3 linked regions of the Drosophila melanogaster genome follow. The protein of the gene in region 1 interacts with the protein of each later gene in a pairwise test. Each region holds a gene or a part of one and is shown in the gene's direction. Other genes may lie near its edges.

Region 1 (3,754 bases):
TGTAACCACAATAGAAATGCCGCCTGGAGTACTCAATGATCTGAACAGGAACGGTATCCAGTGCATTGCATCAGTAACGCTTCTCCAGCGATTCCCGTATCATCGGAACCACCACACCATCCCCACCATGGACCAGAACCGACCCACTGTGGGTGGTGTTACGGCGGAGGTACTAAAAGCCGTCGTTTCGGAAGCTCTGCTGGGCAAATTCACAGCTGTTTTCCCAAAGCTTTTCAAGTGCCAGTGGAAGACTTACGAAGGTCAAAAGAAGGTTAGTACATAAGCAGACGAACTTCGAGGTGGGTGTGTGCTCTGTGCCGGGATTAATCTCGAATCTGGGAAAAATCTGAGTGGAAAAGTCGACGGCGAGCCTCCAGTCATCGAGTTACCCACTTGAAATTATCAGTTCCAAACACTCTAATAGCAGTCCCCTTGTTTTGTCCCCCGATCCGCAGTTCTACGCCAATTTCAGCACCGATTGCACCGACAGCAACAGCAACAACATGAGCCGAAAGTTCTGCGTGGGAGGCAACTGGAAGATGAACGGCGACCAGAAGTCCATCGCCGAGATCGCCAAGACCCTGAGCTCGGCCGCCCTCGACCCCAACACGGAGGTGGTCATCGGCTGCCCGGCCATCTACCTGATGTACGCCCGCAACCTGCTGCCCTGCGAGCTGGGTCTGGCCGGCCAGAATGCCTACAAGGTGGCCAAGGGCGCATTCACCGGCGAGATCTCCCCTGCGATGCTGAAGGACATCGGCGCCGACTGGGTGATCCTGGGACACTCGGAGCGTCGCGCCATCTTCGGCGAATCGGACGCCCTGATCGCCGAGAAGGCCGAGCACGCCCTGGCCGAGGGCCTCAAGGTCATCGCCTGCATTGGTGAGACCCTGGAGGAGCGCGAGGCCGGCAAGACCAACGAGGTGGTGGCCCGCCAAATGTGCGCCTACGCCCAGAAGATCAAGGACTGGAAGAACGTGGTGGTGGCCTACGAGCCCGTCTGGGCCATTGGCACCGGCCAGACCGCCACACCCGATCAGGTAAGGTCGCCCGCAGAGGCTAATCTCTTCCAGAACTGATATTTTCCCTTCCCAATTGCAGGCTCAAGAGGTCCACGCCTTCCTGCGCCAGTGGCTGAGCGACAACATCTCCAAGGAGGTGTCCGCCAGCCTGCGCATCCAGTACGGTGGATCCGTGACCGCCGCCAACGCCAAGGAGCTGGCCAAGAAGCCCGACATAGATGGCTTCCTGGTCGGAGGCGCCTCCCTGAAGCCCGAGTTCGTGGACATCATCAACGCCCGGCAGTAAGCAACGCGATCTCAAGCATCAGATCGCTTTCGGCCAGCGAACTGCCCGCGAAGGAGGCACTGGAGGGCAGGACTCCATACTCCTGCGCGCGAATGCATTACGCACACACCTAGTTGTTGTCACCACCAAGTGCAGTTCCAAATTCATAGTTACCTTGCGAGAATGCTACTCACATCCTTGTTGTTGAACGTATAGTAGTCCATTGTGTAAATCTTAAATTATTCAGGCAATAATTATGCGCTACTCATTTACTTATATACCAAACCAAACAGGTGTCTTATTTTTTGCAAGACTATTTCAGCTATTTTTAGAGCGATTGGTTGAACGACAAGGTGTCCAAAGTTGTGTGCACATATGTACATATATGTGTCACCTCTGCGGACCTTAAACCGAACAAGTTATTACTTAATTTCTGATAAGCATGCGAAATGGCAAATATTTGGAATATGAGTTCCAACTGAGTAATCGAGGCAATCATTGTATTCACTTACCTAACAAGTGAATCAAATCATTTGCATCATGTTTTTGACAATATCTTGCATAAAAGCCTTCAAGAAGAAGCAATGCATCATAAGATAGCTTAACTTGAGATAAGAAAGGAAAACAGTTTGTACTTATTATACTTTATACTTATACTCAGAGTTCATTTCTAATCGAAGTGTTCGAAGATTGTGCACAAAGTTTGGCAAATATGGAGCTAAACAAGGCAATTTCTTTGTAGCTGATAAGTTATTTAGCTTAGTAAGTAATTTATGGTTAGTAAATCAACAAAATATTATTCAGTTTTTCTCAAAACATGAACAGGCTGAGAATTCTTGAACCCAAGTGGCCTTAGATACATTATCGATTTGACAAGCTCTAGTTCTCCGTTTTTGAGCTTTTTATTGTCATTTCTGATCCTGAACACATCGATTTTATTCAGACTGGAGTTTTATATCAGAACAAATTAAATAAGTTTTTAGCCAAATCTTTAGAGAGTAAAGAAAATTTTAACTTGGTTTTAGCGATAGTTTCCCTAGAAGATCAACATGACGCAGTACTATGTCTTTGACGTTATCCTTGTGAACTCCAGTTTGCCGATTCCCCGCAAGTCCGCCAGTTTCAGTGCGGGTGGGAGGCCCGTCTACTCGGTTCGATTGTTCGAGGACTTTGAGGAGCTGTCCATGGAACGCATATTCGTGGATCAGTTTCCCACAGAGGCATTGGGTGGCTTTACCAGCAGTCCCTGTGAGCTAATAGGAGCATTGACATCCAAGGGCGTAGGCGTCACTCTCAAAGAGAACGACGAGCTCATAGGATCGGGCAACGCCACGCTGGAATCTTCAATCCTGCGCCAGCTGACAGACCCCAGCTTTTCGGTTACCCAGAGTGTTACAGTTCAACTGACCAAAGGGCCTAAGAACGACCGAGTGGGTGAGGTGGAGCTACTCCTAAAGATCAGCTCCGCTTCACCGGATATAAAGTAAGTGGTGTTAACCAGATAGGGGAAATGTAGTATTCCTATTAAATCACAATCCTCTCTAGCCACGGCTTGATTCCCTTTGGCTGCTATGACGTGTGCAAGCCTGTGGATCATTCGATCAACAAAAAGGATATTATCTTCACCCTGGGACGCTCCGGAAAGTGTGCAACGAACAGCTGCATCACGGATGAGCGCCTGATGTCGCACGCGGGAGCACCCTTCCAATGTCCACACGCCGCAAGTCAGAATCAGGAGGATCAGGATAACAAAGGCGGTGCCTTTGCCAGATGTGGGTGTTTCCTGAAAGGAATGCAATTACCTCCGGATGTTGGCACGGAGAAAAAGAGAGAAAAGGCCGCTCTGAAGAAGCTCGTCGATGAACTGGGTCTAGACGAGATAAAAGTACCCAGTCCTCCAGACACACACGAAAAGTCCCGTCGTTGGCATTGCAAGTGCAAGCAGCCGAGTTCCAGCACAGATACTTCCTCCTGTGACACCAATGAGTTCACAGCGGAAAAGCCTCCTAGAAAGAGAAAGGCCATATCCTTGACTGCCTCCATGGAGCGGGCTGCTCGTCGAAGACTCATGGGCACCTGTCCTGTAAAAGAGCCTGTTTTAACACAGGAGGCCTACAAGCCACCGAATCTCTGCCAGCTCTGCCGTTCGGACATCAGTTGGCTGCCCAAGATCTCCGCCTGTCCCTACTGTGGCTACAAAACCTTCGAGGACATACAGCCCAGCGAGCAGCCCTACGATCTTACGGCAACTGCCCAGCAATTGCTAAGGGACTGCCTGCGCAAGGAGACCTGTGAACTGGACCCGTCCAAAGGTGATGATGAAGCCATGGGCGACAAGAACAAGGATGATCCCAATGTTCCGCAGCAATGTGGCTGCTTGGGCGGGAAACCCTGCACTCGATGCCGCATCCGGAAGCTCTGCGACAACTTTTTTAAGGAAAATGAGTGCAAGATTGAGCCACTCCCA
Region 2 (3,754 bases), on another chromosome or scaffold:
ACACCCCCAACCACACAATAGATAACCTAAGCTATGTATGTACATTAGCTATGTATATCCAGCCCACTTATGCGCCTACTACTAGAAATGCAGAAAGCAGAAAGAGAGGTGAAACCTATAGACGCTATCACAAATGTCTATCTGATAGACATCGGTACTACCAATGCTATATTGCCAGTTGTGTAATTTACTCTTATTTGATCGTTTCATTTACCAGTTAAGAACCCAAATCATATAAGTGTTATGATGGAAGAACTATAACTTGCAATTCAATTAACTCTGCAATACGATAACAAGCAAAGCGAATCATTTCATTTCGATTTAATCTTTAATTATATATACTTAAACGATGTAAGCCCAAAACAAACGTTTTTTCTATATCTGTCTTTTGAGCAAATTAGTTATACGCAAAACCAAACCGTATTTACATAAATGTATACAAAACAAATCGTATATTTTCATTGGTTTGAAATAAATACATAAAACAATTTAACTTGTTTTACTTGATATTTTAGGTGTCTGGGAATTGAAAGCTGCATTAAAATGTTTTGTCTGTTCTGCTTTGTAAAGATTATTTGTTTTTTCTATTACAAGTGTCTTAACCAAAGACATTTGGTTAACTTCTGAGAATCATAATTACTTATAAGTTAAATTCCAATTGGCAGTCTTATATATCAAACGTAAACTGACAGGAACGACGTAATGTTGTGCCTGCAGACAGGACAGCGGTCTTCTAAAAGGAGCACGAGCTGCAGGGAGCACTCTTTGCAGAGGCAGAGGTGCCGGCATGGCATGACTACTACGTTCCTGCTTTGAGCCATGCACACGACACAGCGTTCTGGACTCGCGGATCCTGCGTTCTCTGACACATACCAAACATTGTGTATGAAGTGTTGCAATTTATGATGGGTCCATAGGTAAACGCTTTGCGTCTTCGTCGAGATTTCAATGCGTCCACGTTGCAGCAGGTAGATGAGCATCAGGTACACATAGCGGCGGAACATATAGAGAACGAGGAGCAGGGCCAATCCTATCGAGGCCCGGAACGCACTGTTCAGCAAGCTCAAGCCATGGGCCACGATTGAGTGCACCACAAAGTCTAGGAGGCAGTCCCAGAGGAATAGTATGGCCCTCGGCAGCAGCATCAGCAGCCACAAGATGCCATCACCCAGATCGATGAGTAAGTTGCAGATGAATCGGGATATGCAGTGACCAAAATCGAGTACATTCTTGAGCCCGCCTTTGGTGCCGCCGTAGAAGTAGTCCGCCACATCTAGCGTGATGAGGCCCAAGTCGCGGATGCCCTCGTTGATATTCCTGACCGCGCATCTCAACAGATTCCATCCTTTCCTGCTGCCCTCCACCAAACAGAAGCCGACGAGGTAGCTGCCCCACAGGAAGTAGTACACGCCAGTAATCACTGCATCAATCACGCTGGCCAGCGGACGCAGCAGGACCAGATCCACAAGCTCCGCTGCCCGAATTAGAGCGTCCAGCATGGCGGGGGGCTCATACTGTCCTCGAATTAAGAAAAGGAAGAAACACAAAATCAAAACAAGAACGCCGGCCGCTTAGTGTGACCAGGCGGTGGTTGGTAATTAAAGCCAAGCTATCGTTGCGATAAGGTAGCGTCAAATAATTACTTATCTTAAATATTTGTATAATTAATATATATATTTATTTTTAACACCCCACACATTATCGGTTGCACTTCCTAGATATATTTAAACTTAGATGGTATCTGAACTTTAAATACGCCAAATTCTAGGGTAACTTAAATTAATAATGTTCAAACAAATATTTTGCTTCTGTGAGCAAAGGAATTACTAAGGAGACATAACAATTTGGATTTATTAATTTTGACAACTATAAATATGCGTAATAATTAATATGGGTATTCATGTACTGATCTATTATGATATTGCATGCTTCTTTCAAAGACAATGAAAGCTCAAAAATATAATTATACATCCGTGCATTTTGCTGGTATTTCAGAATCCAACAAGGTTTCCCCAAACAACTCGCGAGGGGTTATATAAGAAAGGCGAGCTTAAATCATAGCCCTATCTGAGCAGGAATCCCCCTAATGCGAATAATCCTATTATAAATTTATTTCCGGTTCTGCTAGGAAGTTCATTTCGGTTCTTTGTCTGCAGGTCGATTGTGTATAATAAAAAGCATTAATTAACTATTCGTACATGCAGTTGCGCCCTAGTACGTAGGGCTTTTTCTGCACTCGCTGCAATACCATACTTTTTGTTTTTGGGGATGAAACAGTAAAAAAGTTACTGTTGTAGCAGTTTTCCACCATTGAGAGGACATTTGCCAAGTAATTACTGTTTGAGTTTTGCTTTGCTCACAAAGCTCTGCTGCTAAATGAACTAAAATCGATTAAATCTTTAAATTTTCGCCAGAGTTCGCATCAAGCCCAAGCTTAGAAAGGTCCAAGTCCAAGATGGAGGAATCCAATCACGGTTCGGCTGGCTGTGAAAACGTATCGCAGTTCATGCTCGATGACCTACAATTGGCAGCAGAGCTGGGAAAAACGCTCCTGGAACGCAATAAGGAGCTGGAAACCTTCATCAAGGAGTACAAGATTAAGGGGGATGAGCAGGAACTGGAGATCTTGCATCTGCGCAAGCACATTAATGCGATGACCGAGGTGAATGATTCACGGCTTAAGGTCTACGAGCAGCTGGAAGTGGGCATTCAGGATCTGGAGCGTGCCAATCAGCGGCTAAATCTGGAGAAGAATCGGGACAAGAAGCAGATTAAGACGCTGACCACCAACACGGAAGTCCTGGAAGCCCGCTGCGAGGAACTGAGTCAACTTCTGAGCGATGCTCGGCAATCCCTGAGCACCGAGCGGCGGAAGGTGGATCAGTACCAGCAGGAACGCTATAGGATGCAGCATTCGACCGAGGGTTCTGTGTCCAGTCACAGCATTCAATCGCTGTGCAAGGAGCAGAGTGTTGAGTTCTCCAAACTAGATGTTATGGCCATAGCGAACTCGACAGGATTGGAGGATATCTCCTTCAGTAATGCCACCATGTGCGAGAGGACCGCCGTTAAGGGTGAAGACAACGAGGAATTGGTAAAGCTGCTCAGCGAAATGGAGGTGTTAAAACGTGACTTCTTGGCCGAACAGCAGCGGTGCACCGAGCTGGAGGAGCAGTTGGTGACCATAATCCAAGACAACCAAGGTCTGCAGACACGTCTGCTGGAGAACAGTGCCAATGAGGGAACAATGTCGATGCACGAGGAGTTCAGCCTCCTGGACGACGTGAGACAAGGCCAAATGTGTAGTCGCTGCCTGAGGGATATTAACGAAAGCAACACCAATATGGATGATCAATCCTCCATTGCCCCAACCGAAGAAATCTACGAAGATGACGATCGCAGCATACTAAGCGAAAGCACCTCGAAATGCGATAATAGTGGTGCGGATTATAAGGAACGCTTCCGGATTCCCGAGGACCTCAATCCCAACTCTAGCGACAAACCAAATCCTTATCGGGACCTAGTCGAGAAATATGAAGCTCTGGTGGAGGTGAAGAGAACCTCGAATGCGGTCAAGAGCAACTTCACCAGCAATCCAGATGGGAAGACCATGACCGAGTCCAGTCAAGGCAAAAAATCAGAAACAATTGTTAACAGCTCAAAGGAATCTGACCTTATGTTGGATTCAACACGTAAGCGCACTCCAACCGAGTTTTCGGAATCAGAAACTACATCGTCGGGATTCTCGGATGAA
Region 3 (3,414 bases), about 17 Mb from region 1:
TGCAATCCTGTAAACACAACTAGTTAGTGAATCATACCAATTGCTTATACAATTTCCAAATATAATTCGGTCTACATACAATCACCGTGGAGATGATACGAAGTTCTCTCTAACTTACCAAACGCCACCGAAGGCTTCTACCCAAGCGATGGAACCGACGCAGTCCTTGCGCCTTAGATTCAGTCGCACTCCTCCAGGATGCATAATCTCGCGACGCAGCTGCATCACTTGCTGCTCCCGCAAAGTCAATCGCTTGTTGGGCGACTGCTGGGCGGGATTGGTGCTTGACGGAGGTGTTCCCTGTGGCGGTGGCTGCATACGAAAGGCTCCGTTTCGGGATGGCGTAAACTCGTTATTGTTAGCGTTACGCTGCGTTGCGGGCTGAGGGACCCGCTGAAGTGGAGCCTGGGCATCGGATGTGGACGAACTGCGTCGCCGCTGCTCCTGGCTGTCACCGGTTACAATCGAGGTGTTATTCCTTTGCGTTGGCGTAACTTGGGTACTATTGGAGCTGGAAGGCGTGGATTGTTCAATGTTGTTATTCGCGGCGCTGGTTGACTTGTGCGATGTCTTCGTTTTCAGTGGCGTGTTCAACAGCTTTAGGTAGTGGAAATCCCTTCTACTTGGCCGCGAACTAATGACCAGTTCGGTTAGTCCTCGGGTCAACTGCGGCGTCGCCCTGCCGGCTGCATTGGGGGTCACTGGTTGCGCCGTTGCCGGCGAAGCCAACCGACGACGTGGCAAAGCTGGACTGCCATTAGTCACTGGCTGTGTGGTATTCGTGTTTGCCACTCTTGTGGGACTGCTTCTGCTGGTGATCGGAATGCTGGAGGAAAGGAAGACCTTCTCGTAGTGGATATTACCACTGATTATGGAGTCACTGCCCTGTTCTGTATTCACGCTAATATTCGTAATGCCCGAGGTGTTGGCACTGAGTATTATCTTTTTACTTAATCTGGGCGTCTGCGGCTTGGCAGGATTAACAGAGGAAGAGGCTGCGGAAGAACTGGGTGCACTTCCTCCGGCCGCTGGATAGCAGGTGCCGTAGACAGCCACCTTGGTGGTTGCGTCTCCGTCACCCAACACCTTTACTTTCGTGGTGCCCGACACCTGTGAACTGGAGCCATTGGACGAGCTTTGCTTAACGGGCGTTGTATACGGATTGCTGCTACTGGACTGTTTGCCAAGGACTTGAATGGTACTGGTACTGCTACTGGCGTTGGACGGAATGATTTGTACGTTGCTTTTATACTCGTGATGGGTCTGGATTGGCTGCTGCTTGGCATTAGTCTGGGGCTTGCTCTTAACCTCAGGGAATCGAAACACCTCAGCGGTGGTGGTGTTCTTGGGCGGCAGTTCGGGTGGATGTTCCTGGCCACTGTTGGCGGTATTCGACACTTGGATAATTGTGATGTTGTCCTGAGAGTCCGCACTGTTCGTAGGAGCGGCGCTCGAAGATTGGGATTGGAGGGGCTTGCGTTGCGGTCGCTTTGATTTGTCTGCCGCTCCAGCTGACATGGATCGCGATGTTTGCGGTCTAAAAGAAAACAGGAATACATTTTAATATTTGATAAAGAATGCTGACGTCATAGTAGGCTGATTTCTAAATCACAAGCCAGTTTGATATAAACAAATCTTGGAGACATGGCCAAACCGTTTTCTTTGACAGAGGAGAAGCTAGATGACCTATTTGTGCAGGAGGTTGTCAGTGTGGTGAAACTGGTGGACATGCTGCCCGATAAAGATAACATTGTGCCCACATGCACCCGATGGCTCAACATCTTCCAGCAGTCAACGCCGAAGGAACGCTTTTCCAGAAACTATATGCTACTGCTCCTTCATAAACAACTCAATGATCACAAATCGTTGGGTTATCCATTTACGTGGCCGGGCAGTTTCCAGTTGGATTTGCGCACTCTTCACCAAATGAGCCTAAAACCGAATCCCGCAATCGGCAAAGATGTTGTATGCTGCAAATTTGATGAAAGTTTGAATGAGGAGGAACAGTCTTCTTTTAGTTCATGCGAGAATATAGTGGAGGCCAATCGTAGGTTGGTCAAAGAAAACGCTGCACTAACCAAGGAGTCGATGGAGCTTCAATGTCTGATCGATAAGTTGCAGGTGAAACGCGCGGCGGACAAACATGCCATTAAAAGGATAAATGATCAGATTTACATGCTGGACAAGGAGAACCGATATCTGAAGCGAAATTTCGCCTGCTCCTCAATCAGCGCCCTAAAAAGACTATGCAATGGACAGGATCCGGCGATGTTTTTTGACACCATGTTCAGTGTTTTCTGCGAAGACGTATCAGACCACCAGCAGGTGCAGCACTTTAACGAACTCTTCAAAACCTTGCTACATGCCCACATGGATCACTACCGGCGACAGCAGCGTGCTCCTCTGATGGAGGAGGCAAGCCAAAGTTTTGACAATCTGAAAGCCCAGGTGAGCAAGAGATACAAAAATGTGTTGGGCATGAAATTGGATGCCGAGAGCCACGAGCTCACCCTCAGTGCCATGAGATATCTAGCCGTCCTGCGAAAATTGTTCAAGGCCACCTTTAAGGGCAAAGCGAGCACCAAGAAGGCAGTACTCAAGTTCCTGCAGCACAACTACGAGCTTATGAACGAGATGTTGTAGGATGGATTCACTCACCTGGGAATCAGTCGTTCGCATTGCAGAATGTGCTCCAAATTTAGGACTTGATCTACAATTTTAGGTTATATTTTGTAATGTTAGAGTAAAAATTAAATATATTTAGGTTATATAAAAAATATTCATACCGGCAGAAACGCGCTGTCCAGTGACCACCACGACGTCAACGCGAGCTCCATTCTCGGTAAGCATACATGCCTTGCGCAGCAAGGGCGACAGGTATTCGTCATCCGAGAGATTCAAATCGGCATCACTAGTGGTCGGTTGCTCCGCTGGAGGTTCCTCAGCTACAGCAACATCTTCCTGACCAGAGGCTGACTCTACCGACTCACTGATCTGCTCGCTGTAGGTGCTTATGGGATCGGAGAGCATGTTGAGGAGGTGCTGCGTTAAAGTGTTGGACATGGCAGCGGGAGCAGGGGCAGGAGGTGCAGGTGTGGTGGGCACTGGACTTGTTGGTGGCTCAGGAGGTGGTGCTGGCGGAGCCTGATGGCTGGGTGCCACCACACGCTCGACGCCCGGTACCAGAGCCGCCGGAACTGGAGGAGGTGGTGGCAGTGGCGATGTGGGATCCCGCGTGGGCAGCAACGGTGCGCGCACTTCAGGTAGCTTCGTGTAGAGGTTTTCGCGCGGCGACAGAATCTTCATTTCGCGCAGCTTGGAGCGCAGCGTTTCCACCCACTCTTGCATAATCTCCCTGCGAATAAAAAAGCGAAAGTGAGCTGTAAGTGGTGCAATCTTAATTGCGTTGCGTGC

What was found.
Region 2: the proteins of CG31029 (region 1) and Cen interact in a two-hybrid assay, tested with the Drosophila melanogaster proteins (one large-scale study listed by BioGRID).
Region 3: the proteins of CG31029 (region 1) and CG14383 interact in a two-hybrid assay, tested with the Drosophila melanogaster proteins (one large-scale study listed by BioGRID).

Annotation. Positions count from the first base shown.
Region 1 is NT_033777.3:30,130,796-30,134,549, reverse strand, and holds the start of CG31029 (uncharacterized protein), read left to right. Parts: upstream 1-2,154; 5' UTR 2,155-2,336; coding exon 2,337-2,770; intron 2,771-2,832; coding exon 2,833-3,754. Other genes in the region: Tpi (triose phosphate isomerase), read left to right, coding at 17-271, 456-1,040, 1,102-1,308.
Region 2 is NT_033779.5:20,680,194-20,683,947, reverse strand, and holds the start of Cen (centrocortin), read left to right. Parts: upstream 1-2,101; 5' UTR 2,102-2,329; exon of another isoform or gene 2,330-2,414; 5' UTR 2,415-2,455; coding exon 2,456-3,754. Other genes in the region: CG2617 (uncharacterized protein), read right to left, coding at 675-1,499.
Region 3 is NT_033777.3:12,986,729-12,990,142, reverse strand, and holds CG14383 (uncharacterized protein), read left to right. Parts: upstream 1-1,631; 5' UTR 1,632-1,644; coding exon 1,645-2,643; 3' UTR 2,644-2,658; coding exon of another isoform or gene 2,659-2,710; 3' UTR 2,711-2,767; downstream 2,768-3,414. Other genes in the region: CG31342 (uncharacterized protein), read right to left, coding at 1-7, 119-1,537, 2,659-2,710, 2,787-3,355.